Linked DNA regions of Ovis aries. The protein of the gene in region 1 interacts with the protein of each later gene in a pairwise test. Links are inferred from orthologs where the notes say so. Each region holds a gene or a part of one and is shown on either strand. Other genes may lie near its edges. The genes, in order: CDK6, CCND3, cyclin-dependent kinase 4 inhibitor B and CCND2.

Region 1 (7,768 bases):
AAGTTTTTTTTTTTTAATCAAGATGATAAACAGAACTTTGTAGACAAAAAGTATAAATTTACATGACCTCTAATTAAACTTATTGTTATAGTAGATTCTAATAAAACTTTATTTCTGAGTTTCTGGAAAATGTACTTTATAAACTCAAATGGCTAATATAAATCAGAGATCATTTAGAATTAGATGTACATTATACAATTACTAATTTTAAACACATTTCTCATTTCTTAAACAGTGTTATTAAAGTATAGACCAGAATTAAAATTTTCATTTTTATTTTAGGAAAAAAAAAACAAAAACTTAACAGATATTTGGTATAAAATGGTCACACAGAGAATGTATCCCTTACGTGACACTCAGAAAACTTTTAGGGTAAGCTGCAACAGCGTATCTGGAAATTCATGAATTCCAATTTTTAAAAAACTAAGGTGATTTGCAACTTTAGAATATCTGAGATGCAGTGTGAAAATACTGGTACAAATAATTATTCTGGAATGATGTACTCATTCATGGAGGACTCCTAAACAAAGGAGTCAGAATTTTGTTCACAGTTTATAAACTTGGCACAAATTTTGTTGATAACCTGTTACCCACAAAGGAAGGTATCCATAAACAAAAACAATCTGGTATTTACTAATTTTATACAATCCATTGTAAAACTTCCTGATATGAAGCTTTAACCAACGTGGAGTTTGAATGAACCATAACCAAGCAGAGTGAATATGACAAATTAACAGTATCAGAGAAAGCAGATGACATAAAGAGAGGTAAGTAACACTCAGTATTAATCTATGTCATTAAATAAGTTTCATTGTTTTTGACATTGCTCAAGTAATCTAGTAAGCTAAATCATGGGGTTTCTAATTCATCTATGGTTGTTATCCAATTCAGTAATGAAAAACGCAACTCAGTGTAGAAAAGATATTTTTCTGTTAATTTAAAAGATATTTACAGCTTAGTATTTTTAAACAAATTATTTACTCAAATTCTTACAGTCATTTGCTGGTTCCTATGACTATTTATTGACAATTATTTCTGAGTTACATAAATGTGTTAATTACCAACAAATAAATCTTGTTTTAAAAAGCATTGATAGTGTAAGTAATTATCAAAATGGAGGATTCCCATTTGTGTCTCTGGTTTAAAGTCTAATTAGTGATTTGTAGTGATCCAGTATTTTATAGAAATACAAATTCCAACACTTTGTTTTCTTAAGTTTGTAAGGTATATGAGATTATAGCTAATCTTTACTAATATAAATTTTGTTCAGAAATTGGCTTTTAATTTAGAAGATATGCTTCTAAACACAAAAAATGTATTTTATGAACTATCTTAAGCATAAAACACACACTTTATTTTTTAAGAATAAATTATTATAATACCTTGCAAAATATTTGCTAATGAAAATGCAACAATTTTTATTTACCTAACCTGTTACTTCACATTATACTATAGAATCAATTTTATAAAGCAAAATTTTGATCTACTGTGAAATTAGCAAAATAGTTTAATTCAAAATGTCAACAGATTTATAGTGGTAGTATTTTTCATTCAAACAGAATTTTTCTGGGTTTTAATTTTTACACAGAGTCCTGAAATAAATAACATTTTTTTTAGGGTTTGCATTAAGATATTTCAAAGGGTTTCAAGTATTTTACAGATAGAGATTTTGGATAATATTGAATTCTTTCCAAAAAAATAGTCATTTTAAGTTTTGTTTTACTTCATTGTAAAAGTCTAGAAGACTTTTCTTTTCCTCCAAAATCTAATTTTCACCTGAAATATTGAGGTTTTCTCAGCAGGTAAAGTATACATTCTTACAAAGTTTCAAATTTCAGAAGTCCAGTAATGCATTTAAAGTAAGCACCCATCGAATCGTGTTCTCTCTTCTTTGTGTGTGTGTGCGTGTGTCTATTATCTTGCTGTTCTGTTACTTAAAGTCAATTTTAGGCTTTTTACCTCCACAGAAATACCTTAGTGAACCCTCGGCAGTTACTAATCACTTAATAACTGTGAGCCGGCCAGCCCCTTCAAGTAGATCGTTAACCACAAGAGTGCCAGACAATTTCCAAATCATATCCTCCGTCCAAAAGGAAAAGATAGGGCTTTGTGAGGCCGAAAGGAAGCGAAGGAAAACAAAACAAATGTAGCTCATGCTGAAAGTGAAAAGTGCTTGGACAGATTAGTATTTTCTTTTCTGCAAGGCGTCCTGCCAATTTTTTTAAATAAAGTTATTTTTTGATCTGACTTTTCAGTTTCTTGAAAAGTGTTAGTATTTACCATCCCCACCGGCCCCTCATGACTATTATCGGTCGTTTTGTGTTTTCCCCATCTGTCTACATCACTGACTGCTGAAACCCCCCGCCTGCCTCACTCTGTCAAAAACCCCAACTCTGGGCGACCCTCGGTTTGGTAACTCAGCCGACTGCCGACCACACATCCCACTCTCCCTCTCACGCCTCCTATTTTAGTCACCCCACTCCAGTTGCAGCGAAAGCCGGAAATTTTCATTTAGCTCCCCCCTCTTTCTCGCCCCCCACTCGGAGCGGAGAGCCGGGGAGCCGGAGGCTCAGAGCACAGCCGGGGCTCGGCCGCCTCCCCTCTCTCCGGAAGGCTTTAATTTGCACACTCGCTGGCCACTGAGCGGCGAGCCCCCCACCCGGCCGCCGGGAGGGTCGCGGGCCGCCGGCCTCCAGGGCCCCCCACCCCGCCCCCGCCGCCTCCCCGGCTCGGGCCCCGAGCCCGGGCCGGAGCCCCGCGGCCTCCGTCCGCCCCCAGCGCGCCGCGCGGGCGGCGCCCTCCGCCGTCCCTCCGCCCTCCGCCGCAGTGCCCACCCCCTCGCCCGAGCGAGCGCCGCTAACTCCTTCCTCGAGCCGGTTTACCTGCTCCGCGCCGCGGCGGACACGTGCGAAGGTCGACCGGTCCCCGCAGCCCCCTCGCGAGGCCCGCCGCGGCCGGGCCCCTCAGGTGAGGCGCTGTGCGCTCTGGTGGGTGGGCGGCAGGGTGCAGGGTGGGGGGGTGGTCCTTGGGGAAGACTTGGGGGCTTGGCCCGGGGTCGGCGGCTAGGGTGGGTGGGGGTGACTGGGGCGGGGAGGGGGGGCGGTAGGTTCTGGGAATCGGCTTTGGTTAACCCCTTACGATCCGAGGAGGGGTGGTTACAGGGGCCAGTTTCGGGGGAGCTACAGGAGTTTCTCCTAATCTGACTAGAGGGAAACATCCCACACGAGGGACTCCCCCCAACGCCGAGCTCCTGTGCCTGCTCGCACACAGCCTTGCGCACAAACACCCACACAAACACTTCTTATCCAGTCCTTCAAACGGAACTCAGGCTCCACTGGGAAACTCACCGAGAAATTTACATTCAGGGTTTAAAATGCACTGCTTTGGGGAACCTCACGCGGGAGAGAATGTGTTTCGGTGCCTTGTATTTATTTCCCCACGAAAGCTCCCCCTCCATCTCGCCGAGGTGTGGGTGTGAGCTCCACCTTCCCCACCGCGAGATAAATGTTAACGCAGACTTCTTGCTGGCAGCCCCCGCGGGCGTGTTCTGCACTTAAGAGAGGAGTACACGCCGGCGGCCAGTGCCCAGGCTGGAAGTCCCCCCGCAAGGATGGACGCTTGCTTTAGTTTCCTAGTTTACTTTCCTAATTTAAAATATCGTTAAAACGCACGCCCCCGGGGTGAACACCTCCTGGCCCGAGCCCCGCGCCCGTCAGTGTGCACGTGGGCGCATCTGCGTGTGTGTACACGCGGGAGTCGTGGTCCCCCGGGGCGGCCTCTGGTCGCCGCGGTGGTGGCGACCCTTGCGGTGCTTGGCAGGCTTCGGGAGAGGCACATGAAGGATTTCATTGAGTGTGAAGACAGAGAGCAGAGACAGAAAGCAGAAGGAGGCGGCTGCAGCCTTTGTAGTCGCGGAGGAATGCGGAAATGTTGAAGCACTCTGTCAAACTTTTTTGAAATGGGGTCAAGTCACATTCAGCCAGCGTGGGAAAGCAACAACAACAACAAAAAAAGTGGACGGGGCGGGGGACGGGGGGAGGCACGGCTGCTCCCGTTTCTCTCCGCCGGAGCCGACAGTCCGGGGAGCGAGGGGGGAGAGCCGGGGCGGGCGGTGCGGGGCCCGGCGGGGGCGGCGGGCGCAGCTCCCTGCGGGGGTGGGACGTCCCCGCCGCTTCCTTCGCCGCCGGGCGGCGGGCAGGACTGGGGCTGGGAGGGGGCCTGCGGGAGGGGGCGGGCGGCGCCGCTCGCCGCGGCTCCTCCGCTACCTGTGTGGCCCTCGGCCTGGCTCCGACCGCTGGTTCCTTGGCTCAGGGGGCTCGTTCCTCGGCCCCCTTACCCAGGACTGGCCTTCACCTTTTAAGGAGAATTTTGAATGGAGAGAGTGTGAGGGGCCCGGTGCTCTCCGCGGTCCCCTCCGCCCGCAGACCGCAAGGGTCGCGCAGTCTGTATCTTTAATTCCTGGCGGAAGGCGAGCGAGCCAGAGGTTGCGGGGCAGGTAATTCCGAGGAGCTCCGGGGAATTTCGGACAAGCAGTCGGAGCGGCGAATGTCCGGCGGAGGCCACAGCGTTGGTGGAGCAGAGGTCCCCTGGGTCCTGGATTGCAGCTTGAATGGGAAAGAAGAGTGCGACCCCCCCCCCCCTTCGCCGCTTTGTTGTGTGTGTGGGGTGAGCTCCGGGGGTCACTGGCTGCTATTCGGATCCGACCTTAAACTGGAAGGGGAGTGGAGCAACCTCTGCTACCTACTTCGGGAACAACCCTGGGAGTGGGGAAAGGTTCTCGAGTCCTGGCCCCGGGGGCGCAACCCCTTTTCGCTTTCCCCTGGAGGCTCAGCCTTTACTCCCCCCACCCCTCACCCTATTTAAGGGGAAGCTGAGTTTTGCTCAGGTTGCAATCGGTTGAAAAATTCAAGGCAAGTGACGATTATGCCGCTTTGCTTCTGAAGTTGTTCTCCAAGGAGACGACAAGCTGAAGTGCGGCGAGCACCTCTTTATCCCATTCTTAGGGTTCCGTAGGCGACTTCACCCGCCCCCTCGCCCCCGCCGCCACACCGCGGGGGGAGGCATCGCTCACCCACTCCGGAGTAGCGGGAGCTCCCGCCCTCTCGGATCTGATGGGTTTCCACCAGGGAGGTCTTCCCAAGTAAGAGGAAGGATTCCGTTTCCAACCCAGACTCTTTTACCTTAAAAAGACCATTTGTGTGTCGTTTTTAAATGTCTCCTCGTAGAAAAACTGAAAGTAGAAAGAAAGGAAGCAATTTCCGAGCAGATGTCTGACCACCCCTTCTCGCACACTCGCAGCATCGGGTTACAAAGGTCCTGGGAGCCCCCACCCACATTCTGCGGCCGCACTCAGGCGGACCCGAGGTCTGTCCACACCAGGCTGCGCACGACCCCAGAACGCCCCCACGGCACCCATGGAGCCCCTGTCCCCTGACGTCCAGGCCCGGCAGGCAGGGAGCGGAGCAGCGCAACACAATGATACAGGGAAATATTAAGCCGTGACATTGACGTGCCCGGCGCCTCCCCTCCCCCGCGCTCCCGGCACACTCTGGGCTGCTTGGCACGCCCCCTCTCGTTCCACCGCGTCCAGCGCCCCGCGCTCATCCCCGAGGGGCCCCTGCAACCTCTCCGGGCGAAGACGGCTCTAGCTCTGCAGGGAAAGAAAAGTAACTTCGTTTTTCTCGGAGAAACCAGGAAGGAAGCGGCCTGGGAGGGCAGGAGCTCGCAGAGGGTAGCGATGGGGGCTGCGTAAAGGAGGAGGAGGGGTCCCTGTAGGAACCCCGGAGAAGGCGCCTGGGATGTCTGATTACACTTTCTTCTTGTCCTCCCGTCTCCTCTTTTAGGTGGAATGACCGTGGACTGAGACGCGCTCGGGCTGAGACAGACTATGTAATCGCCTCGGTGTCTGCAGAGGACTGCGCTTCTGGGAGGGAAGAGGAGGGATCGGCTCGCTCCTCGGCGACTCAGCAGGCGGAGTTTCGCAGCGGCGGCTCCAGGGTTGCGCCCGCCCGCGGGGAGGTCGCTCCATCCAGCCCCGGCGGCCGCGAGAGTCCGAGCGCCCGAGCGTGGTAGTCGGCGGGGGGTGAGAGAGTGAGCGAGACCGAGCTCCGGGGCGCGAGGGAGCCGGCCGGGGAGTCCGGGAGGAGGCGAGCGGCGGCCACCAGCGAGCCGAGCGCGCCCCCCGCCCGCCCCAGCGGCACCGCGCCGGGCGGCATGGAGAAGGACGGCCTGAGCCGTGCTGACCAGCAGTATGAGTGCGTGGCGGAGATCGGGGAGGGCGCCTACGGGAAGGTGTTCAAGGCCCGGGACCTGAAGAACGGAGGCCGTTTCGTGGCGCTGAAGCGTGTGAGAGTGCAGACTGGCGAGGAGGGCATGCCGCTCTCCACCATCCGCGAGGTGGCGGTGCTGAGGCACCTGGAGACCTTCGAGCACCCCAACGTGGTCAGGTGAGCGGTGCATCGGCGCCCGTGCCGTCGGGGGCCGTGTGCTGGGGGAGGGCCTGGTATCCCCGGCCCCACGGAGATGCTGCGTGTGCGGGAGGGTGGGGGGACGGCGGGGGAGGCATGGCGCCATCCGTCGACCTTACGGAGTGAGAGTGAGTTTTGTCGACAGAGCCACGAGCCAGAGCTAGTGATCTTGCCAGACAGCGAGCAAAAAGACCAGTCAGAAAATATGACCTGCGCAGCCTTCCTCGCCGCTGTGCCAGTTCTAAGTGTTTTTCTCCCGGTTCGTCCTGAAAGGGGTCCTGAAAGATGGGTGTCTTTTAGGGGATAGAACAGGGCAATCTCGGACAGGCCTCCACCCCCCCAGCCCCCCACCCCCAGCCCCCCCGCGTGGTTTCCTTGGCCATTGGGGAAGTTTTTGAGAGAATGAATGAGAGGTAACAGGGTATGGTGGTAATTAGTAGGAAGAAAAGTCTTCTGCCAGAGCCTAGTATAAATGAGGTTTTAAAGTGCAGAAACACTTGAGAATAATTTTGTCAATTACACCTACAGTTTCCTTTCGCTAACATTGCATAATGATAAGGATTCCTGATGAAGAACTTCAGTGCCAACGCCCAGTTTGTGTCCTTTTAAAAATGTCTTCCAAATATGTTATCTGTTTGTACTATTTTGTGTGTCTAAGAGGGCATAGTCCTTAGGCTCCTTCCCTGTCAGTCAGTCCAGGTTATGGAATATTTAGATTCTAAACGTCCTGCCCAGGATTTTCCTGGGTGGGCTGTGCTGGAGGGTGGGGAGGCAGCAGTTCTTACAGTGTTTCTTGTGTGGGAACCAGTATTAAACCAAAGTGTGTGACTTTGGATAATGGTGTTTTCTTAGTGATCCTGGAATTTCCCCATTGTGTGTTTGACATTGTGTGGTGTGTCATCCTTTTCTTTTTTAAACAGAGGTGCATAGTTTTAAGCTGAAAAGGAATGCCCGGAAACTTCTACAAATTAGGGTGTGATTTTACCTTTCTCAACGTCTAAGATAATAAGTTGGAAAAAGGAGGTCTTGAAGTCTTCTTCCTGTCTTCTCATCCGTCAAGGGGCTCTAGTCAACAAATACATATCTACTACTGTATGTGTGCTGTGGATGAGATTATGTAAATAAGCATAGCTAAATGTTTTTGTGAAAAGTCAAACAATTTAACATTAGTCACCAAAGTGGAGAGACCCAAGACTGACCTTTGAAATACCAAGCCCTCTATAGACTCAGGGAGCCCATGTGTCTGCAGTCTTCCTGGGAGGTTTCGACTTGTCTCCTCTCATCCCAGGCTGGATGACTTG
Region 2 (6,864 bases), on another chromosome or scaffold:
CTGCGTTTCCTAAGCCTCTGCCCCCGAAGTGACTGTGCGCCCTCCCCCAGGTGTGTGAGGAGCAGCGCTGTGAAGAGGAAGTCTTCCCCCTGGCCATGAACTACCTGGATCGCTACCTGTCCTGCGTCCCCACCCGAAAGGCGCAGTTGCAGCTCCTGGGTGCGGTCTGCATGCTGCTGGCCTCCAAGCTGCGCGAGACAACGCCCCTGACCATCGAGAAGCTGTGCATCTACACCGACCATTCTGTCTCCCCGCGCCAGCTGCGGGTGCGTGCATACCCTCCCCACCTGCCAGCACCCCCTGCCTCCTTCCTAACGTACCAGGATGGGGGAAGCTGAGACCTCGGGAGGCTTTCTGCCCCTGTGCAGGGTAGCAGCTTTTTTTCTTTTTCTTTTGACAAAAGATGGGACAGTGTGGTGTGATGGTCAGGGTGGCCCCAGTTCAGGCTTGCACTCCCAGCATGAACCAGATCCCCTGTCTTGACCTCCAGGGGGTGCCACTCCTTCATGGTCTTTCCCCCAGATAGCAACAAGTCAAACTGCATGTCTACACTCACCAGAACTTTGCCTCTGGGTTTACACAGCCACCAGGAGTTATTTATTGGCAGCAGCAGGGCATGCCTGTGCACCCCCACTGGAGTGGGGGAGTGGAACGTGCTTCACGTGGGGGAAGGGGCCGCCCGGGTTGAATCTTGTCTCCCAGTGTGTGGACTTTGTGATCAAAAAGTCTCCCAGAGCTGATTAAAGCCAGGCCCCAGCTGCTGTAAGGAAGGGCCGAGGAGTTCCATCCCACTTTGCTTCCTTCCTTCCTTTTATATCCCAGGAGAACCAGCTCCTTCCCTCATTCTCCATTCCCTAGTCTCACCCTGAGAAATTGCTCTCAGAAGCAGCTGCTTCAGGCCTGGTGGAATCATCTTTTCCCCTTTAGCCAAAGGCAAGTGCTGAGGCACAGACTGGGGCTGAACTGCAGCTGCTTCCGATGTGATAATGATGCCCTCTCCCCTGGCCCACCCACCCTGACCAAGGTCTTTCATAACCCTGTGGGGAGCTGCTGTCACTCCTGTGGTTTGGGAAGTGGCTCCCTGGGCCTCTTGCTGGGAACTTGGGCTGGGCTCTTCCCGAGGCAGGGCAGGGGAGTCATGGTTCTCTTTCCCCATTGAGCCTGGAGAGGAGGTGGGGAGTTGCTTGGATTTGGAAGAGGTTATTTGGGAGCGTGCAGATCATCTCTCGGGGGACCCAGGGGAGAGGGGTGAGCTGGCACCTTCCTCCATCTTGCTCTACAGCAGTCGAGTCTTCTCTTGACCCGAGAGGCGTCTCTGGGCCCCATCTCCCGGGGAGGAGGGCAGCGTGCTGGCTGCTGTGATTGGCTGGCCAGGAAAGCCAGGGTACTGGGGCCCCTGAGTGCTGCTTGTCGGGGAACGGGATTCCTCTTCCTGCCAAGTAGCTCTCGGATATGGGAGTAGGAGGCCAGAGCTGGGAATCTGGGAGGCTCCACAGCTCTTTGTGATGAATCTGGTAGTTTGGGGCAAGTCTGAAGGTGGAGCTGGTTTCCAGGGCTAGAGAGCAAGATGTTTCTGAAGGAGTTTGGGCTGGTGGAAGGGGACTTCATTTTTGTGAAAAGATGAGCATGGGATGTGTGCCTTTATGTGAGGGCAGTTTTTCAGAACAGGCCAAAAGTCCTCTCCTCCCACTCCCCCTGCCTGAGCTGGGGGTGGAGCGTGCCGATCGATGACTTCCTAGAAGGTCAGAGTTGGAAGGGACATCAGAGAGCTCCGGTCAGTCCAAATAATCCTTGTGCCGCAAAGAAGGTGGGGGCCCAGAGGAGGAAGGAAGGGTCCTGGCTTGGTGCTGCACGGAGGGTGTGTTTGAGGCCTCAGGTGGCCTCAGAGGTTAGGGTTTTGATGGAAGCTGCTAGGGGTGTGTTCTCTGTCATGTGAGGACTGAGATTCTCAGGAGATACTCTGCCCAGATGGAGGGTAAGGTGGCCACCTTCCCCCAACGCAGGACCCTATGCGTCCCCACTCCGAGCTGCCTTCCAGATGTTTCCTTGGATCCTGGATGCTTTTTGTTGACTTCTGAGTTAGGAGTTTGACCCCTGGAATAAGCACAGGGAGTAGAATGCTAAATTCTCTGCTCAACTTCTTCTGGCTCCAGGCCAGGCTGATTTCTGTGAGGCTTTGTGAGAGGCTGAAGATCATGACACCTAGGTGGGGGCCAGGAGAGGGGCAGCTGTGACAGAGGGCCGAAAAGAGATTGGGTGGGGTTGCCATTTCTACCCCATGAAGGGTCAAACCCGTGAGTTCCTTCCTGAGATAAGACAATGAAGAAATCCTCCTGTGTGCAACTCAGAAATAGGGCCAGGGCTGGGAACCTCAGAGGAGTGGACTGGGTGGGGCTCCCAGTCTCCTTCCAGGACCCAGCAGTAGTAGGGAGGCTGGGACTGATGGAGAGATGGTTTGGTCCCTCAGGGATCATCACCTGGACCCATCCTGTCTGCCTTGACCTCCACTTCTCCCCCTGAGACTCAAAGACACTAAGCACTGGGTTTCAGCCAGAGAGGTGGAGTGGGGTGCTCTATTTCAGCCCCCCACCCCAGTGTCCCCCCAAGGGGATGTGGGTTGGGTTGGGCAACCTCCACTTTGAGGAACCTTGGGGTTGGCTCAGGGGCTGTGTCAGAGGAGGAAGGGCCTCACGCTAACCCCAGTTTCTTCAAGAGGTGTGGACTTGGTGGGCATGCTGAGTTGGGGGAGAGGCTAGTAATCTCCCCTTTCGCAAATCCTTGAGATTATGGAGAGTCTTTCTGCTTCACACCAGAAGAGCCTCTAGTTCCTGGTGATGGTGGTCTGCAGACTTTTCTTTCAGCTATGACTGGAGGCCTGCTCAGAGCCTTGCAGGAAGTTGAGAGAAGGCCTGGACAGTTGGACCCCCAAAAGATAACCCAGCAGGATTAAAAGAGGCAGTTTATGTAAAGCATGTAGTTCTGGCATCTAGGAAGTTGATCAATAGATGCTCAAAGCAAGTGCCCCTAGCTGTTCCCTGCCCTGGACTCCCCATTCCACAGTGCCAGTCCTGAAGTTCAAAAGCAGACCTGGAGTCTTGACCTTCAAGTGTGATGTGCTTCGTTCCCTGTGAGACTTCCACTTTACTTCCTCCCCTTCCCTTCTTCAGCCACTGACCCCGCCCTCTTCCTCTGCCTCCAGGATTGGGAGGTGCTGGTCTTGGGGAAGCTCAAGTGGGACCTGGCCGCAGTGATTGCCCACGATTTCCTGGCCCTGATTCTGCACCGGCTCTCTCTGCCCCGCGACCGACAAGCCTTGGTCAAGAAGCACGCCCAGACCTTTTTGGCCCTCTGTGCTACAGGTAAGAGTCCCACACACACATGTGCCAAGCCAGGGAAATCAGAAGACTTGGAAAGGTGAGAGAGAACTAGGAGGTTCGGTTTATAACTTCAAAATTTGTGAAAATTCTATCCTCTGAGCCCCCAGTATCAACACAAGAAAGCAGCAGAGCTGTTTGGGATCTCAGAGATGCTGCAGCCCCCCACCCCCACCTCCCACCTGAGTATGTAGCTGGGGACACCAAGGACTTAGAGAGAAGTGACTTGCCCAGGCTGTCTCAGTGACTAAGCCAGGCCAAGAACCCAGGTCTCTTAACCTTAATTTTGTGTCCATACCAGGAAGAGACCCATTCACTCTCTGGTTCCTGGCCTGGATCACTTACTACCCTGACCCTCTCCCCAGCTGTTCTTATACCACGCACTGCTGGGGTGTCCCAGTATACCCGTGCTCTATTCATACAGCCTGGCACTTCCTGGGAAATAAAAGGTGCATGCTGGTATTCACCCTTGTCTCATGGTCCCTTTTCTCTTTCCTAGACTACACTTTTGCCATGTACCCACCATCCATGATTGCCACAGGCAGCATCGGAGCTGCAGTGCAAGGCCTGGGTGCCTGCTCCACGTCTGGGGACGAGCTCACAGAGCTGCTGGCAGGGATCACAGGCACTGAAGTGGTGAGTGCTGGGCAGCTGGGCAAATGGCCTCAGCTCACGAGGTAGCACTTTCCCCTGAGCTTCCAGCAGAGGGTGCTATGGACCACCCCCAACCTGGTCTCCACTCCAGGTTTCAAGTGCCCCACCTTTGTGGCTTCTGTGGTCTTTTATCTCCTGCCTTGGTCTGGAGAAGAGCAAGTGCTGCGGGTGGGCCGAAAGGCACTGCCCCTGGGTACCCTTTCCTTGCCGAGCAGTATGCAGGAGTGGGGGTGGGGGGTTCGGTGTCAGATGTCAGGCCCTCTCACACCCTCTTGCCACATCCTCTTGCCAGTTTCTGAGAACTGAAGGCTGATTCCTGGGGTTGGGCTGTGGCCTAACCTCCCCAGACTTCCCTGTGTTGGGAGGTGTCCTCCTGTACCTGCTGCCAGATGCTGGTGGAGGACGGGAAGCGGGGTGGGAAGCGGACCTTCCTCACCACTCCCCCTTGTCCCCAGGACTGCCTGCGGGCCTGTCAGGAGCAGATTGAAGCTGCCCTCAGGGAGAGCCTCAGGGAAGCCGCCCAGACCTCTCCCAGCCCAGCGCCCAAAGCCCCCAGGGTCTCCAGCAGCCAGGGGCCCAGCCAGACCAGCACTCCCACAGACGTCACGGCCATCCACCTGTAGCCCTGGAGAGGCCCCCTCGAGTGGCTGCTGACAGCAGGAGGGGACCTTGTCCCTCCCTGGCTGCAGGAACGGAATCATGCCACAGCTGAAGCCTGAGGGGGCTCCTTCCCCTTGCCCCTCGCCAGCCAGGGGGGTCAGGTCCTACCTAACCCTGCAGCGTGCACTAAGGGGCCTGGCCGGCCACGGCTGGGGGCCAGTCCGGCTCCTCCTCCTGCCTGCATCCAGCCAGTGACATTGAGGTGTAATACATGTACCAGCATTCCTTTCTAGGGGCTCCCTTATCTCTGGGGCTCTCAACTGCCAAAACTGAACCCGAGCCCCTGGCAGAGAAAGCTCGGAGTCCTAACCACTGGACCGCCAGGGGATTCCCTAATTACTGCATTTGGATTGGGATCTTTCTGAAGAAGCCTCGGATGTTCTAGTTACACATTAGGGGCAAGAGTGGACATCCCTCTCCAAGCACGTGGAGGCCCGGCATAATCCTAGCTACTCCTAGGAGGGGCCCCGGCCACCGTCCAGGGGCAGGAACCAACCTCCTTGCTTTGCTTTCTGCTCAGCTTCTCCTGTGTGATTGGGGGGAGGGGGGTGTCAGTGCAGAAGGAAGTTGTTTTAATTTATTAATTACTTTGAGTACAACTGTATGAGGGTGTGGTGGGGCCCTTCTCCCCCCGCCACAGGGGTGGTAACCCTGGTGGTTGCTGTATTCCTCCCCTCTGCTACTTGCTAGAGGATCTTTGTGGCCAAGGAGCTGCTATGCCTGGAGTGGGGCCATACCCTCCTCTCCCTTTGGCCCTCTGCCCCATCCTCCAGGAGCAGGGGGTGTTGTGGAATGAAGCAGGGGATGACCTGGTGATGACCAAGCCCCCTGTCCAGAGAGGGAGGCAGGCCCTGTTAACACAGGTCTTTCCTGAGGCCACAAGGTCCAGGCTGGTGGCTGAGGACCATCATGCTACCTTTATAATAAAGTTTCTAGAATAAAACTGACTTTGGCTTCTTGGATTAGAGGGCAGTCTGTGGGAAAGCCTATTTCTAGACTGCATGGGGTAAAAGAAGGCAGAAATCAATGTCTGGAGCAGGAGTCGTCCCACCTTTTCTGTCTTGGGCCAGAGCAGACACTTCAGGCTTTGTGGGCCATGTGGCTTCTGCCTGTGTTATCCGAAGGTCTGCTGTAGAACCTGATGTGCACATTTCTAAAAAGCACTGCACTGCAAAACTGCACAATTAAGGCCACATGGCTTATGGGGGAAAACGGGGCCTGAAGCACAATACTCAAATACTTAATGAAGGACACTTTTTTTTTTAAGATGGTGTTTTTACACATTAAATGGCTAAGAAACATACTGTAATAAATATGGCCCTTTATCTTGAAAAACAAACACCTGAAGTTGGCTGTGGAAGCAGAGGTCGGAAGGATGTGGAAGGCACGTTGTGACACCAGATGTGGGTGTGGTGCCAACCCAGAAGGTGAGCTGGGGGCGTTGGCACAGGGCTGGGCATGTGCGTTTTGTGTCATCTGGCTTGGCTCTGTGGGGGTAGTTTTTTGCTTTCATCTAGTGTCTCAAGACAGAACTATATAAATGAAATTTGCTTTATGACCGAATAGAGTCATTAGGTTGGAACAAACTCATATTTGCAAAAGCAAGTAACAGGGTTCTAGCCAGGCTGCACTGGTCTCTGCTGTAGGGGCAGTGAAAGTAGTCACAGGACATGGAAGTGGATGGATGTGGCTGTGTCCCAATAAAACTTTATTTTAGGGACACTGAAACTTAAATTTCATATAATCTTCACCTATCACAAAATACTGCTGTTTTTTCTCTGCCTCCCCCACCAACCATTTAAAATGTAAAAAATCATTTTTCTCTCATGGACTGTAAGAAAACAGGCATACACAACCCTGATTTGCCAACCCCTGGTTGAACGCTTTCATTGGCTAAGAAAGTTAGAAAGGGAACTGGTCTGGTGGTGACCCTGGGTCTGACCTTTCTCATCCTGAATTTCCACCTTCCTCTAGGTGCTTTCTTCTAGCTCTTGCAACCAATCTGAGACCTTCTCGTGTTTGAACAACCTCCTGGTTGCTGGTATTCTCCCCAAGTAGCTTGTGTCAGGGGAAGGCAAAGGCTGTGCCCTCTAGGGGCTGGCAGGGTGGGTACAGCCTAGAGAAGAAGAATAAGGTGGGGGAAATACGTGGCTCCCATGTAAATAGGTAAGAATCC
Region 3 (5,956 bases), on another chromosome or scaffold:
CTGGAGTATGGAGCAGCAGGTTTTCACTCATCAAAAATTCTAAAGAAAGGGACTGGAAACCCCACTACTTTAGTTTGCTTTTCTTTTTAATGGGGGCGGGGAGGGGGGGAGGGAGGCCAGTATTGCCTGTCCCATCTCATAAGAGATGCATGGGATAGGTTCAACTGGGCAGGAAAAGGGAAAATGAGAGGCTATTTGGGGAGAACTGCTTTGTCTTATCTGTTTGTCTTTAAACAAATAGCGATCAACTTTCAACGACAGAGATAATTAAATTTCAAGTTACGCAATTTGGATTGGATTTAAGGAATCCTACATTCACAGCACATAAAAAAAAATCATCCTGAAGTTTTAAGCTGCGATATGAAATGTTATATTCTTTCCTCATGCAGGCGAATTGAATACAAAGTAATAAGTCAGGATTCCTCAACCACAGTACTTAATTCCTTTTATTTTACGTTAGCAGTGTTTCTTGAGTGTTACATAAGAAAAAATATGCTTCTATAGATTTTTATCATACTGAATGCTTGGATTACATATACATTCCTTCAGCTTTGTTAAATGGCAAAGGGTCTTTATAATTAGCCTCTTCATTGTTAAAATTCATTTATTCGATATGTTTAACTATTAATCCCACTTTAATCAGTGCTGATATATCTTTTTAATTTCTTTAAAATCTAAGGTAGTACTTTGTGTCTTACTGTTATCCCTCAGCAGTATTAAATACTAAAAATTAGTATTCACTTCACAATCATCTTCCAGAACCAAGTCATTAGTAAGAAATCTTGTTAATCGTGCAATTTTTAAATATGTATTCATTTTGAATTCATAGAAAATATTGGAAGAAATGAGGGATTATTAAAAGCAGCAAAAATATTTTAAAGTAGTCCTTAAAGACTTCAATTATATTAGTAACTGTAAAAGGGGGGGGCTTTTATTTGTCATTTTAATTCACCATATTCTGAGATATTAAGAGCCACTTTTTCTCCTCTATATATGAAATGCCCTTTACATCACTAATAGAAAATATATCATGGTTTTTAAGGGAGGAGATGGATGTTTTCAATAACCATGGAACAATGAAAAAATTAGCATACTATATTTTGATTCCATGGTACATTTTAAAGCATAAACTCACAAGAAAATAAAATTTCATTTTGAATATTTAATTATCAAAAATTGTTAAAATAAGAAAGTAAATGCCGGCATAATGCACATGTACACAAATGGATACTGTAGGATTACTGCTTCAAAACATTGTTTTTCTAAGTTATGCATTGCTCTGATTTGACTGCTAAAATCTAAGATCCTTTTTAGATAGCAAAATGTTTACTATTTAACAATATAAAATACTAGCACATTATAAAATCCTGTACAATGCAAATATAGTATCTATTTTATGTTACATCAAATATCCTCTAAACTTTAGCCCTTATCTATAATGTTAAATATTAAAAGTGGTGAATCATTGATTGAAAACAAATAGTTTGTTTTCATCGTCTTATAAAACTATGCACGACTTTACTTTTCCCCCCTCTATCTCCCACTGTGGCTCAAATTATGGGACCATATATACGCACTTTATGAGCAAAGACATATAACAGAGAAAAGCAAAAGCCTTCCCACAGGGGATTTACTCCAAGAAATAAACAAAGTAAACCTTGTTTTAAACGTAGTTGTTTCTTATTTTCTCTCCTAAAGCATTACTCTAACGCCTAAAATAAATATATCAGCTGACTGCCTAGTAAATTTTTTAGATGGGGACTATGGCTGGGGGAGAGGGGAGAGCAAGCGAAATAAATTTAAGACTTTAAGTCTTTAAACTTAACTATGCTCATACATCATTTAACAACATAGTTCCCCTGTTTCAACGGAAATTTTTTAAAAAATTTCCGACAACAGCAATAAGCACTTTGTTATCAGCTCTTCCTTGTCTTCCCACGTTCGGAGAATAAAACTGTACGAATTAGGTCTGAGTAGAGTATAAACTGGAGAAGAAAATGGCAGCCCACTCCAGTGTTCTTGCCTGGAGAATCCCAGGGGCGGCGGAGCCTGGTGGGCTGCTGTCTATGGGGTCGCACAGAGTCGGACACGACGGAAGTGACTTAGCAGCAGCAGACTTCCGAGGCTTGTAAGGGCCTGGATGAATAGGGTTTTTTTTTTTTTTTTTTTGGAAAAGACTCTACTTGCCCCTGCGTCCTGACCACTCTGCTCTCTCTGGCAGGTGATGATGATGGGCAGCGCCCGCGTGGCCGAGCTGCTGCTGCTCCACGGCGCGGACCCCAACTGCGCGGACCCCGCCACCCTCACCCGGCCGGTGCACGACGCCGCCCGGGAGGGCTTCCTGGACACGCTGGTGGCCCTGCACCGAGCCGGGGGGCGGCTGGATGTGCGCGATGCCTGGGGCCGCCTGCCCGTGGACCTGGCCGAGGAGCGGGGCCACCGCGACGTCGCCCGGTACCTGCGCGCGGCCGCGGGAGATTGAGGGTGCGCGTACACAACCGCCCACAACGACTTTCTCTCCAGTTCGCCACCCCAACTTAGTTCAAAGAGGGCTGCAAACGTGGAGCAGCGGAAGTCTTCCAGGGCGACTGGATTCCCGGCAGCGAAGGAGGAGCTGACTGGGAATACTTTTTTCTCCCCACCCCCCCGGATACCGCCCCTCGGCACTCACCGTGATAAAATGAATAGAGGTGCGGCACATGGATTTCCAGTAGGAGCCGAGTGTGGAACTCCCAGGTTTGTTTTTCAGGGTGTTCTGGTGAAAAGCGGCCTGTGAACAAGTCCATGAACAAACCCAAGTGCTGTGAATCTTCACACACGAGGTGCTGGGGCGGAGTGGGAGGCGGCGGCAACTAGCCTTCAGGTGGGAGGCAGATGATAACGATCGCCCCACTGACCGTGAAGGACCTCCCCTGCAAGTCCCCACGTCGGGCGTGGGGCCCTGAGGGAAAATCTGGAGATGAAGGACCACGCAATGACGAGGACGAAGGTCGACACGGGCTCAGTAGGCGACCAACGCTTTCTTTACAGGCTTGAGGAGCGGGCAGGTCGCGAGCAAAAAGCTACCCACTGGAAGCCTTGCGACCTCTTGCCCAGCCCCATCAGAGAGCGATGGGTGAGAGAGGACCCGGAAGTCACCTCAATTTGCCAGCTTTTTCTAAAGTCCCCAGGTCGAGGTGATGCTGAACAGCTCTCCGAAAGGGGCGCTCATTTGCTGTTGTTACGACGAGATTCCTGCGGTGTTCCCTCCTCGCACAGACTGAAGTCCGGGCTGTAGCGAGAGCGACTGTAGGAAGACTGTTAACTGTAAAGATTTGTTTGATCTCTATACGGTAGGATTCAGAGAGCCCCCTGTAAATTGCCACTTGAAATGACTTCGTGATATTTTGTACTTCTGGGTTGTTCTTCAGTAGCAGTCTTAATTCGGAGACTTTAAATAACAAAGTAACTCGCAGCTCTTGGGAAGGAAGTGAAGAACTACAGCTTTTATGCGAAGCTGTGGCACAGTGCCATCTCCCAGATTACTTCAGTCTTTAACCTATTTATTTCTTTGTTAAAGTTTGTTTCCTTTACTGGAGTGTCTCCAGGGTCAAACTATGAAATATTACAAATGTTTTTCTTAGAAGATCCATGCCCTTACCCAGTAAATGATCTCAGGGTATTTCCCAAAGGGTTGCTGAAAGAGTACTGAGTGTGAAGCTGTCGAAAATACATAATGATGGTTCGTGAAATGTCTTAATATCTGTTGAACAAACTAAAGGTGTACTGTTTGGGGATTTCATTTCCAGTGTTGCTTGATTCATTACAGCATTGGAATAACTGACATTTCACTGTTTTAATGGTAAAAAGAAAAGTTGAGATTGGACACCAAGGTTTTGGCTTAAAACATGTGAATTCCATTCCTAATTTAAGGGAGTTGTGGAATCTGGTGACAACCTTATATTAATGGAAAGTAAATCAAGAAAATATGGTTGGGTACTACAGGGTACTGTGAGATGCATATATATATATATATATATATATATATATATATATATATATACACACATATATATATGTGCCAAAACATCATACATTATTGGAAAATCAAGTACCACCAGGTTGCAACTGAAATATTTATGATGCATGTAAAAATAAATTCAGATTTCAAATCCACCTGGTAAGTAAGGATGGCCAATGTGTTTTATCAGCTGCACAAGAAATACATATGTTGACTCTGTTTAAGATTTTACTTTGAAGGATACATGCAAATAAATATAGCTCTATATACATGAGCCCTGCTTCTGGCTCCATTTTACAATTACAGAAAAATATATATGCTAATTTCTGTATCTAAATCTAAAATATTACCAAGGTTTGTAAAGTCTTATCACCTGACCTTCACTGCAAGATCTGGAAGTAAAATAAATTTATAATTCAATAACATATTCATTTGGCCTCATTTTTTATTTCTTTTTTCAGCCGAGTGAATGGATGAGAAAACGAGGATGCTTTACTCTGAAAGCAAAATCTGTTTAAAATTTCCTATGTTCTAATGGCTAAAATTAGTGACTTCAAATATAAGGAATGAAATAAATTCTGAGAGCTCAAGATCCATACAGCTCCTAACAGTTTTGGGAAAGTGTGTTCATAGGAATGCCTTAATGATATTTTATTTCTGTGTTATGACAAAAACAACATGAATATGGTGTCCAGGACCAAATAAGTTCATTTTATAAAGCTAGGTAACTGACCTTCAGCAAACAAATAAAACTTATTTAACTTACACCAATCACATTGAGATTCTATATTGCCCTTCCTTTATGGGAGATGTTAAAAAACAAATTACTTGTGTGTTAATATGTAATAGTCAATAGGGATTTTTTTTTACCACCTCTGTAATTATCAGTTATTTAAAAAAAACCAACACATGCTTATTTTTCTTTTCCAATGTTCAAGATGTTGCCACTCTACCAAAAAAAAAAAAAAAGCAATTAGAATTAGTGATTCTAAAACCTTAGAAACACACTTGTGGACTACTTTCTGAAACAAATGGAAAAGCGAGTGTCATCTACAATATAAGAAGACTGCTTCAGTATTTACATCAGCAGCTAATCATAACCAAAATCTGATATGAGTACTAGGTTTTCACTATTAACAAACTATTTCATTATCTTGTGAAAACCTAGGTTGGTGTAATTTCATTGCATTCAATTACCAAGTTTAAAAAGATGGGAGGGTAAATACATAAGAAAATAATATTTTATTTTTTTAAATTACTTGAAGAAGCAACAAGAGTTGAATCACAATACTTTCAACATCTTTTCCTGTTCTATTTAAAATTCCAGGGAAGAAAGAGGGAATGAAGGAAAGAGAAATTAGATAGGAGACCTGGATTCTGATATTGGTTCTTCAACTAATTCAATATATGATCTACTAAATTAAATGACATGACTAGCCCCAATTTCCTCATCTATAAAAAATGGGAGTGGTACTAGATTATTTTTAAGCTCCTAATCAGCACTAACATTTTATCCCTTTATAAGTTTGTCATATACATGACTGTAATAGAGTCTTATGTTTTATTAGTAATGATTTTGCCATGGTCTGTCTGAGCCAAGAAAAGCTATATAAGGGAAGAGACAGAAGAAATTTATTTGCTGACCTTCAGCAAATAAAACTTATTTAACTTACACCAATCACATTGAGATTCTATATTGCCCTTCCTTTATGGGAAATGTTAAAAAACAAATTACTTGTGTGTTAATATGTAATAGTCAATAGTTTTTAAATTCTGGAGCCCTGGGGAATGGGGGATTTTTATAAGTACCACCTCTACCAGTTAATTGAAAAGTTAGAGACAAGTTTGTGGGAACTAGCACAAAAAAAAAGATGCTTTGTAAAATAAATATGTAGTTTAATTTTAAGCTCTTTCTTACTCCATCTTACCTGATTTTTTGTTGTCACATTTTGCATT
Region 4 (7,871 bases), on another chromosome or scaffold:
GGAGCGAGCCTGCCGCGCGGGGAGCGCCCGCACTGGCGGATCGGGGTGGACGGAGAGGGCGGCTGGGAGAGGGGCACCCGCCTGCGCCCCTCCCCTTCACGACCGCCTCCCCTCCGCCCCCGGCCCCGCTCCCCGCCGGAATTTCTCAGTAAAGCCAGACGGGTTTGGGGTTGGGGGGAGGGAAGGGGCGAGGGGGCCCCTCGGCTCGCTCCGGAGACTTGAGGCCCTGCCACCCAGGCTTTCTCCCCAGGGTGGGCGAGGCCCGGAGGACGACCACCCGCCTCTTCCCCACCCCCCCTCCGCCCCCCGCTGCCCCTCTTCAGGGGACCCCGAGCTCAGGATGCTTTCTTTGCAGGGAGGTGGAGAAAAGACCGTGCTGCGTTAGTTATCAAGTGATGTCAAGAGGCTGGGGGCCCTGGCCGGCTTCTGTCCTTGCCTGTCGGGGCAGATTTATACTTTAAAAATACCTCTCTCGCCCCCACTGCCCCCAGCCCACTCCACCCTCAACTCCTGCAGGCTTTCTTTGATCCGCTCAAAGGTGGCTGAACTGAAGTTTGAGTAGGTCTTTTATGGGGTCTTAAAATGTAAGTTAACGTATTTATCCGGAGTGATTCAAGGCCTGAGTCGGGAAGTCCACGTTGACTGAAATCAATAGGCGATTGTTAGGGACCCGATCTTTTCCGAGGAACACGCTCCTGGGCCCCGGGTGTCACCCGCCGCGCGGGGCTGTTTCATTTTGAGTTTGCAACTTGGGTTTTTCAGCGAGGTTTTTTTTTTCTTCCCGAAAGCTAATGGCTTCCACCGTAATTAGACATTCTCCTCGCCCGCCCCCTTCCCTCCCCTTTCTTTACGTACAGTCGATAGGATCCTAATTCCTGCGGCTATTGATAAGGTCGCGGGCGCCCCGGCCTCTCACCAGCCCCCGCCCGCCCCATCCCCGCTCTCCCTCCGCCCTCCCTTCCTTGGCTTCCTTTTGATGTAGCGGGGAACGCGTCCTACTAAAAAAAAAAAAAAAAAGTAATCTGCCCGGTAACAATCAGCGCGCAGTAGCAGGAGACCCAGAGCTATTGGCTATGCAAATAGAGGGAGGGGAGACGGCGCCCCAAACTCTTACTCACCCTTTTAAAGCGATAGCCCCCTCCACCCACCCACCCACCCACCCACCCCTTCCGCCCCACCCTCGTGGAAAGGGGCTGGGCCCGGGGCCGGAGTTAATCGCTCGCACCTCTGGTTTTCTGCGCGCTCCCCGCGTTCCCTTTCACCTCCCCCTCCTTTCAGGGAACCGCTCGCCCGGTTCACCCATCCCGCACCCGCCCGACCACGCTCGCCCTCCGTGCCCCGGTTCTGAGACCCTCCTTGCTCCGCGAGGGAGGTGCTGGGCTGACCTCGGGGTGTCGCGAGAGCCCCGACCCACGCGGCGCTCGCCGCACGTGCCAGCTCGGCCAGCACCCGGGACGCAGGGCCCGCTCCTTTCCCCCTCGGAGTGAAATAGCACAGAGGGCAGGGTGGGAGGGGGGTGGCGGGAGGAAGGAGGTGAGGAAACGCCCCCGGATCCCCTCCCAAAGCTGCTTTGACCGGAGGATGCGTCGGAGCACGTGTCGGAGCCGACCGCGTCTCCACCGCAGTCCAGTTCTCGAGGAGAAAGCCCTGGCTGCGATGGAGGCGTGAACCCGGAGGGTCCGCGAGTGTGCCGGCGAGGGACCCGGGGTGGGAGATCTTGGGCCTCGGAGGAAACGAAGGAGTGGTGTCGTTGGCGCTGGGGGAGAGACAGGGAGCCCAATCTACCCCCCTTTCTCGCCCCCCTCCCGGCCCCCCCCCCCGCCCCGGGCTATTTCCTAGAAAGCTGTATCAGTGTGGCCACGCTCGGCGCAGACACCTCGGGCGGCTTGTCAGCAGATGCAGGGCGAGGAAGCGGGTTTTTCCTGCGTGGCCGCTGGCCGCGGCGGAACCGCTGGTAGCCCTGCCCCCGGCCTGCGGCGGCTCGGGGCGCCTCCCCGCGTCTCCCAGTGGCGCCTGCGGCGCCCCAAGAACGGGAGGGTTTCTGCTCCTAGGTCACATTCTCCCACGTCGAAGAAGCGCCCCCTCCCTCCGGACACCAACCCCTCCGCCTTCTTCCTTTCCCCACACATCTGCGTGGTGGGGGGGGTGGGGCGGTGGCATGGGGCGGAGTGGGGGGGTGTATTTTGGTCCCTATAATCGGGTTTCGGAAACAGGCTGAAAATGATTAAGAACGTACATTTCAGGGCCATACATACCCTTTCCCTCTGGGTATGCAAAGTTAACTGTTTTCCAAAATCACCCTCCTTCGGGCTCATATAAGGGATCTTATTTCTCAGTCGTTTGAGCCCACCTCATCTTCAGCTCACCCACCCGTCATTCCTGGATCTTAAATTCGTGGGCTGGAGTGTAGCGATCATGTTTGAGGAAACCAGAGTCGGAGGGTCGTATTTTTGGCGGGATGCACCTACAGAATGGGCTGCAATTACAGGGAATAAGTAGGGATCGGTGGGGTTTTGTGGTTTTTTTGGTGGGTTCCCCTCTCCTGGGCCCCTGGCTTGGTGGAGGGAGAGGGCCTCGGAGAGCTAAGGGAGAGGGTGGGGGGCGGCGCGGGGGACCGCGTTTGAAGTTTGGTCGGGCCAGCTGCTGTTCTCCTTAATAACAAGAGGGGAAAGGAGGGAGAGACTGAAAGGAGGAGGGGAGGGCCGGGAGGGGAGGGAAGGGGAGGAGGAACCGGAGAGGGGGGTGAGGCGAGAGGGAGGAGAAGTAACTGCCCAGCCAGTTTGCGTCACTGCCTCAGCGAGCAGAGAGCCGAGCGAGCTGGGGAGAGCAGACAAGTTTGAAGGGGAGGGCAGAGAGAGTCAGCCGCCCCCGGGGCGCTCCTCTCCCACCGCCCATCCTTCCCTTTCCACTCTTCCTCCCCGGCTTCTCTCTCTCTCTCTCTGCCTTTAACTCTACCCCTCTAAAAAAACCCTTATTTAGCCAAAGGAAGGAGGTACGGGGAATCCTCTCCCCTCCCCCCTCCCAAAAAACCCCCAACTTTTCCAGTCCGGAGATCGCAGGGGCACGAGCGAGTAGCCAGCTGGCCATGGAGCTGCTGTGCGGCGAGGTGGAGCCGGTCCGCAGGGCCGTGCCGGACGCCAACCTGCTCCACGACGACCGCGTGTTGCAGAACTTGCTGACCATCGAGGAGCGCTACCTGCCCCAGTGCTCCTACTTCAAGTGCGTGCAGAAGGACATTCAGCCCTACATGCGCAGGATGGTGGCCACCTGGATGCTGGAGGTAGGGCTGCAGGCAGGCGCTCCGTCGGCGCCCGCGCCGGTCCCGGAACCTGGGCGAGGGCAGCCTCGGGAGCCCGCCCCCCCACTCCTGCGCCAGAGCTTACCCCCGCGCCCTCGGCCAGACGCGTGGCTTCCTCTCGGTTCCTTGCGGGGGGTGCAAGATTCCCGGGGCGGGGGGAGGGGGAGAGCAGCGAGGTTGTCCCAGGGCTGGGGGTGGGGGAGCATCCCGAGCGCGTGTGCCTGCATGCGGCTGCCACCTCTTCCCACCGGCACCCACCCCCGCCGCGACCTTTTGCTAAGCCGAGGCTGCTTGCGGTGCCTTGAAGAAGAGAATGGGAGGGTGAACCCCGAAGTTAAAAAGTCAGCTGCACCCCCTTCCCCCGCAAAGGCCAGAGCAAATGGGTCCTAGCCTCGGGTCCCCGCATGTGGTCGGGACTCCGCGTTGGCACTTAAGGGGGGAGGGAGAGGGCGGAGGGAGAAGAGAAATGGGGAATTCAGGAGCCCCGGAAGTCACACTGAAGAAACGTGTGTTTTCGGGGAACCCAGAAGAAGCACTTCTTTCCCCTTGCTCCGAACCCTTGCCGTGTGCCCACGTCTGCACGGCTCCGGACCTGCCGTGGTTTCGCCATGTTGCTTTGTAAACTCGGGGGTGGAGCGGCTGGACGCGTCGCCTGCTCCCCCTCGCACCCCACGACCCCGGTCCCCCCACTTCTGATGGCGCCCTCTCTCCCCCATCACCCACCCCGCCCCCTCGTGAAGGTTACTTACGGTTCGGCCTTCAGTTTCCTGGGTGCGGAGATCTGGGTGGGGTGGGAGGGGGAGGAGGTGTGTGCAGGGGGGATAGCGGGGCCCCCCCGAAGGAGAGGCCGGAGCCCCCCGCGCCTCTCCCCGGCGGCTCCCCGTCCACGAGCGTCCCCCAGCTCTTCGCCACCGTCCCCGGCCTCTGCCCTTGTGGGCCGCGGCCGGACACTCCCGCCGCCGCGCTCTCCCCTGCAAGTTTCCCCTCGGGATCCGAAGCCCCAGGGGTCGCGCTCCAGACCTTCCCGGCGCCTCAAACCTCCGCTGCGGGAAGCCTGGGTCCTCTGCGGGGTTTTCACGGCGAAAGGGCTTTTCTGGGATATTTCCTCGATTTTTAATTATTTTTTGAACCCGTCTCCCCTGCTCCGACTCCGGCCGCCCAGGCTGCGCGGCGCTCGCTCCCTCCGCCCTCCCCCCGCTTCCCCACCTCTCCCCACCCACCCCCCCAAATGCGGCGCCTGGGCCGCGGGGACCCCTCCAGACAATTTTTTCAATTGTCGGGAATGATAGAGCAGGGTCTGGGGATCCGAATGAGACCAAGAACGAGACCCCTGGAGCCTCCAGAATATTTTTATTGATTTTTTGAAAAGATGACGAAATCCAAAAAAGAGAGTGAGTGAGTGCGAGCGCCCGGAGTAGTGAGCGGCCCACGGGGGCGGCGGGGCCGGCGCTGCTGCGCCCTCGGCTTCGGGGTCCTTAAGCCCCCTCTCCTTTGAGATTTTAAGTTCCCGGGGAGGACCCCCGCGCGGATGGCCATGTAAATTGCCCCCAGTTTCCTCGTCTTCATTCTTATCGCTTATTCTACTCCCCTCCCCTCCCCCCAAATTCAACATTTTTGTCATTTCCCTGGATTGTGCGATTTCCCTTTCTTCCTCCTTTCCTGATATGATGGTCTCCCCCTACCCCGACCCCTTCCCACTCATGTCGTAGGTCTGTGAGGAGCAGAAGTGCGAAGAGGAGGTCTTTCCTCTCGCCATCAATTACCTGGACCGCTTCTTGGCCGGAGTCCCAACTCCGAAGACCCATCTGCAGCTGCTGGGGGCCGTGTGCATGTTCCTGGCGTCCAAGCTCAAAGAGACCATCCCGCTGACCGCTGAGAAGTTGTGCATTTACACCGACAACTCCATCAAGCCTCAGGAGCTGCTGGTAATGCCTGCCTCCTTCCTGCCTGCCTGCCTTTCTGCTCTGCCCTGGCCTAATCCGCCTTGACCCACCGCTCCCAGAACAAACTCTTAGGACCCCAAATTACCCATCTGTGAAATGTCCACCCTTTGGGGAACTCTGACTTTTCCTATTGAGACTCCTTGTGTTCCTACTGTGTGCTGGACTGTATATACAAAGCACTCAGGCTCCGCCCATGCATAAGATTCTCCTTCACAGAGTTTTGGGTTGGTGACACTCATTTGCAGAAAGAGAGAGAGAGAGAGAGAGAGAGAGAGAGAGAGAGAGTGTGTGTGTGTGTGTGTGTGTGTGTAGTGGAGGTATAGAACACAGTGATAATATTTTAATCAAATTCCCAGTTTTCAATCACTGACTTCTGAGACAGTCGTCAACCTCAACATGATCCAGACGCGTTGTGACGTGTCTCCTAAGAACTAGGAGTTCAAAGGTAGCGTCTAGGGAATCTCTCAGTCTCTCTGGCATACCTGGACATAGCAGCTGTTCACTAAACACCAACTCACTGGCTTTTGAGCAGAGTCAAGTTTGGCCCTTTGTGGGAGGATTCGGAGGCATGGATTCCCGTCTTTGGTGGGGCTGTAACCTCTGTACAGACATGGGGATCTTGTCTGGGCTCTGGTTTTCTGCCAGCAAACCTTTTCCCCACCCAGTAGGAAGGACCCTTTGCCTCTGCAGCTTCACCTTTAAGACGTCCATGTAGCCGTAGTGTGGCATTGGCTGAGTAGCCCCAGAGGCCCACCTTCAGTGATCTGCACACCCATCTCCCAACTCTTTTGGAAGAGCGCCCCCCCCACCTCCACCCTCCCTCGCTGCTGGCCAGGCCTGCGCCGAAGTCCAGAGGGCCTGGACTGGCTGCCTGAACTGAGTTCTTTGTGAGAGGCCGTCCTCCCTGAGGCTGTGCTGCCACCTAGCGGCAGACATGTGCAAGGACGGGGAGGAATCTCCGAGAATGCAGAGGGGCATGAATGACCTCACCTTTGAACAGCTGCCAGATTTCAGCTGCTTCTGGTTTGGTCGGAGAGGCCCAGAAAGGTGCTTTCTTCTGGGAGATCTGCTTCCTTTAATAATGGTACAAGTCGAGTGGTTTATACTCACATTCTCCGGTGAGAAGGAGAGCTGGAATTTCAAGCCGTCTTGGAAGACCCTGATTGTTTAGAAGGCTATCTGTGTTTTTACCCCCAACCTCCGGAAAAAAGCAAAGGCCGACATTAAAGCCAGTAAAGACAAACAAATGGGTAGAATTAAGATCCAGTTATTATTTGTTTTCCCCAAGGAAGACCAGGAAAAATAATCTTCCTTTTGCATCACTGTTTCATCATGATGGGGAGCTCAGATCTTTTAGAGCACCCCAAGTTTTTTGAGGGTCTGCCAAGCTAATTTGTATTTCTGCAGACACACGTGTCTGTTCCTAGTCTCTTTATCCCAGAAGTTGAGCTCTAGAGGGGTCCTCCAATTCTACCAATGAGGAAGCTAAGACCAGGGAGGGGAGGGCTTTGGGGGAGACCACACAGCCGGTGGGTGCCGTGGGCAGAATGGGGCTCCGGTGGCTGGGGGGAAGAGAGTCAGTTTCCCCGGGTGAATGTGGGAGCGAGCTGCACTGGCAGGCTGCTCTCAGCCTCTCGTTCCTCTGACGGTGATCTATCGATAGACCTGTTTTCCCTCTGACTGCACGTTTTTTTAAGGCATTCTTTTTGACTTGTTTCCCTTGAGCATAATTCCCCCTGAAGTACCTCCATGAGGAAAAGAAACAAGGTTTTTTCAGTAGGTGGGCTGCTGGTGAGAGGCCCACAGACACCGGGTTAGCCTTGTGCCAGGATTTGGGCTGCATTCTTCTCTATGACCTCGAACAAGCACTTTAATCCTCTCCTGAATCCCCTCTAGCCGCAAAACGGGGTGGGGGGCTGGGGGTGGCCAGTGACCCTCCGGTCCTTTAGTCATGGTAACAGAAAACTGCGAAAACCTGTATGTGGAAGGGTGTGCTGTGTCTGGGTGTCATTTCCTGAGGTCTTCTGCGTTGTGTGTCCAGGGGAAAGTCTTGGCAGCAGAGAGGAAAATGGTACTTTTTGGCATCGACGGCAGACGAGCTAATTGGTTGTCAAGAATTTAGGCCAAGAAACCTAAATTTGAGCTTCTTTTTGTGTACATCATTTTTCCAGGAGAATGAAAAAAAAGACTCATTAATCCAGTCACTGATATATACAATAAATTCCTACCAAAGGGCCACCACAACCTTGGCGGTATTTTACTGTGAATTCAACCTCCTGGGTGGGCGGGCGAGAGCATCCTCTGGAAGTCAGGGTTGGGTGGGGAGGTGGGGTGTGCAGCTGGAGAGGCTGAAGAAATAGCAGAAAGGACCATCGAGGCAGGGGCCACCTGGGTGCTCAGGTTTCTGGGGAGCTTGACATTTGAAGCCTTAAGAGCCATCATCCACTTCAAAACTTTAGGACCACTCTGATAAATGGTCCCACCTTGCAGTCTAGCCTCGTCCTAATGAACATCCTCAAAAGGCTGGTCTAGATCCCAAGCCTCCCATCCGGGACACTGGGTTAGCCTGTGTGGGTTTTATACTCTTCTCTGCCTCCCTCCCTCCCCAGGAGTGGGAGCTGGTGGTGCTG

Evidence for each region.
Region 2: the proteins of CDK6 (region 1) and CCND3 interact in binary tests that used the Homo sapiens proteins (3 or more experiments, as listed by UniProt). The link is inferred for Ovis aries from reciprocal best matches to the Homo sapiens genes CDK6 and CCND3.
Region 3: the proteins of CDK6 (region 1) and cyclin-dependent kinase 4 inhibitor B interact in binary tests that used the Homo sapiens proteins (3 or more experiments, as listed by UniProt). The link is inferred for Ovis aries from reciprocal best matches to the Homo sapiens genes CDK6 and CDKN2B.
Region 4: the proteins of CDK6 (region 1) and CCND2 interact in a two-hybrid assay, tested with the Homo sapiens proteins (2 studies listed by BioGRID, with this or other methods). The link is inferred for Ovis aries from reciprocal best matches to the Homo sapiens genes CDK6 and CCND2.

What each region holds. Positions count from the first base shown.
Region 1 is NC_056057.1:10,940,601-10,948,368, reverse strand, and holds the start of CDK6 (cyclin-dependent kinase 6), read left to right. Parts: upstream 1-2,825; 5' UTR 2,826-2,967; intron 2,968-5,574; exon of another isoform or gene 5,575-5,731; intron 5,732-5,843; 5' UTR 5,844-6,213; coding exon 6,214-6,446; intron 6,447-7,768. UniProt on the Homo sapiens protein: Serine/threonine-protein kinase involved in the control of the cell cycle and differentiation; promotes G1/S transition. Phosphorylates pRB/RB1 and NPM1.
Region 2 is NC_056073.1:15,731,920-15,738,783, reverse strand, and holds the end of CCND3 (G1/S-specific cyclin-D3), read left to right. Parts: intron 1-50; coding exon 51-266; intron 267-3,199; coding exon 3,200-3,359; intron 3,360-3,873; coding exon 3,874-4,010; intron 4,011-4,483; coding exon 4,484-4,651; downstream 4,652-6,864. UniProt on the Homo sapiens protein: Regulatory component of the cyclin D3-CDK4 (DC) complex that phosphorylates and inhibits members of the retinoblastoma (RB) protein family including RB1 and regulates the cell-cycle during G(1)/S transition.
Region 3 is NC_056055.1:90,785,317-90,791,272, reverse strand, and holds the end of cyclin-dependent kinase 4 inhibitor B, read left to right. Parts: intron 1-2,221; coding exon 2,222-2,482; 3' UTR 2,483-4,423; downstream 4,424-5,956. UniProt on the Homo sapiens protein: Interacts strongly with CDK4 and CDK6. Potent inhibitor. Potential effector of TGF-beta induced cell cycle arrest.
Region 4 is NC_056056.1:211,616,310-211,624,180, reverse strand, and holds the start of CCND2 (G1/S-specific cyclin-D2), read left to right. Parts: upstream 1-3,085; coding exon 3,086-3,280; intron 3,281-4,047; exon of another isoform or gene 4,048-4,483; intron 4,484-5,007; coding exon 5,008-5,223; intron 5,224-7,850; coding exon 7,851-7,871. UniProt on the Homo sapiens protein: Regulatory component of the cyclin D2-CDK4 (DC) complex that phosphorylates and inhibits members of the retinoblastoma (RB) protein family including RB1 and regulates the cell-cycle during G(1)/S transition.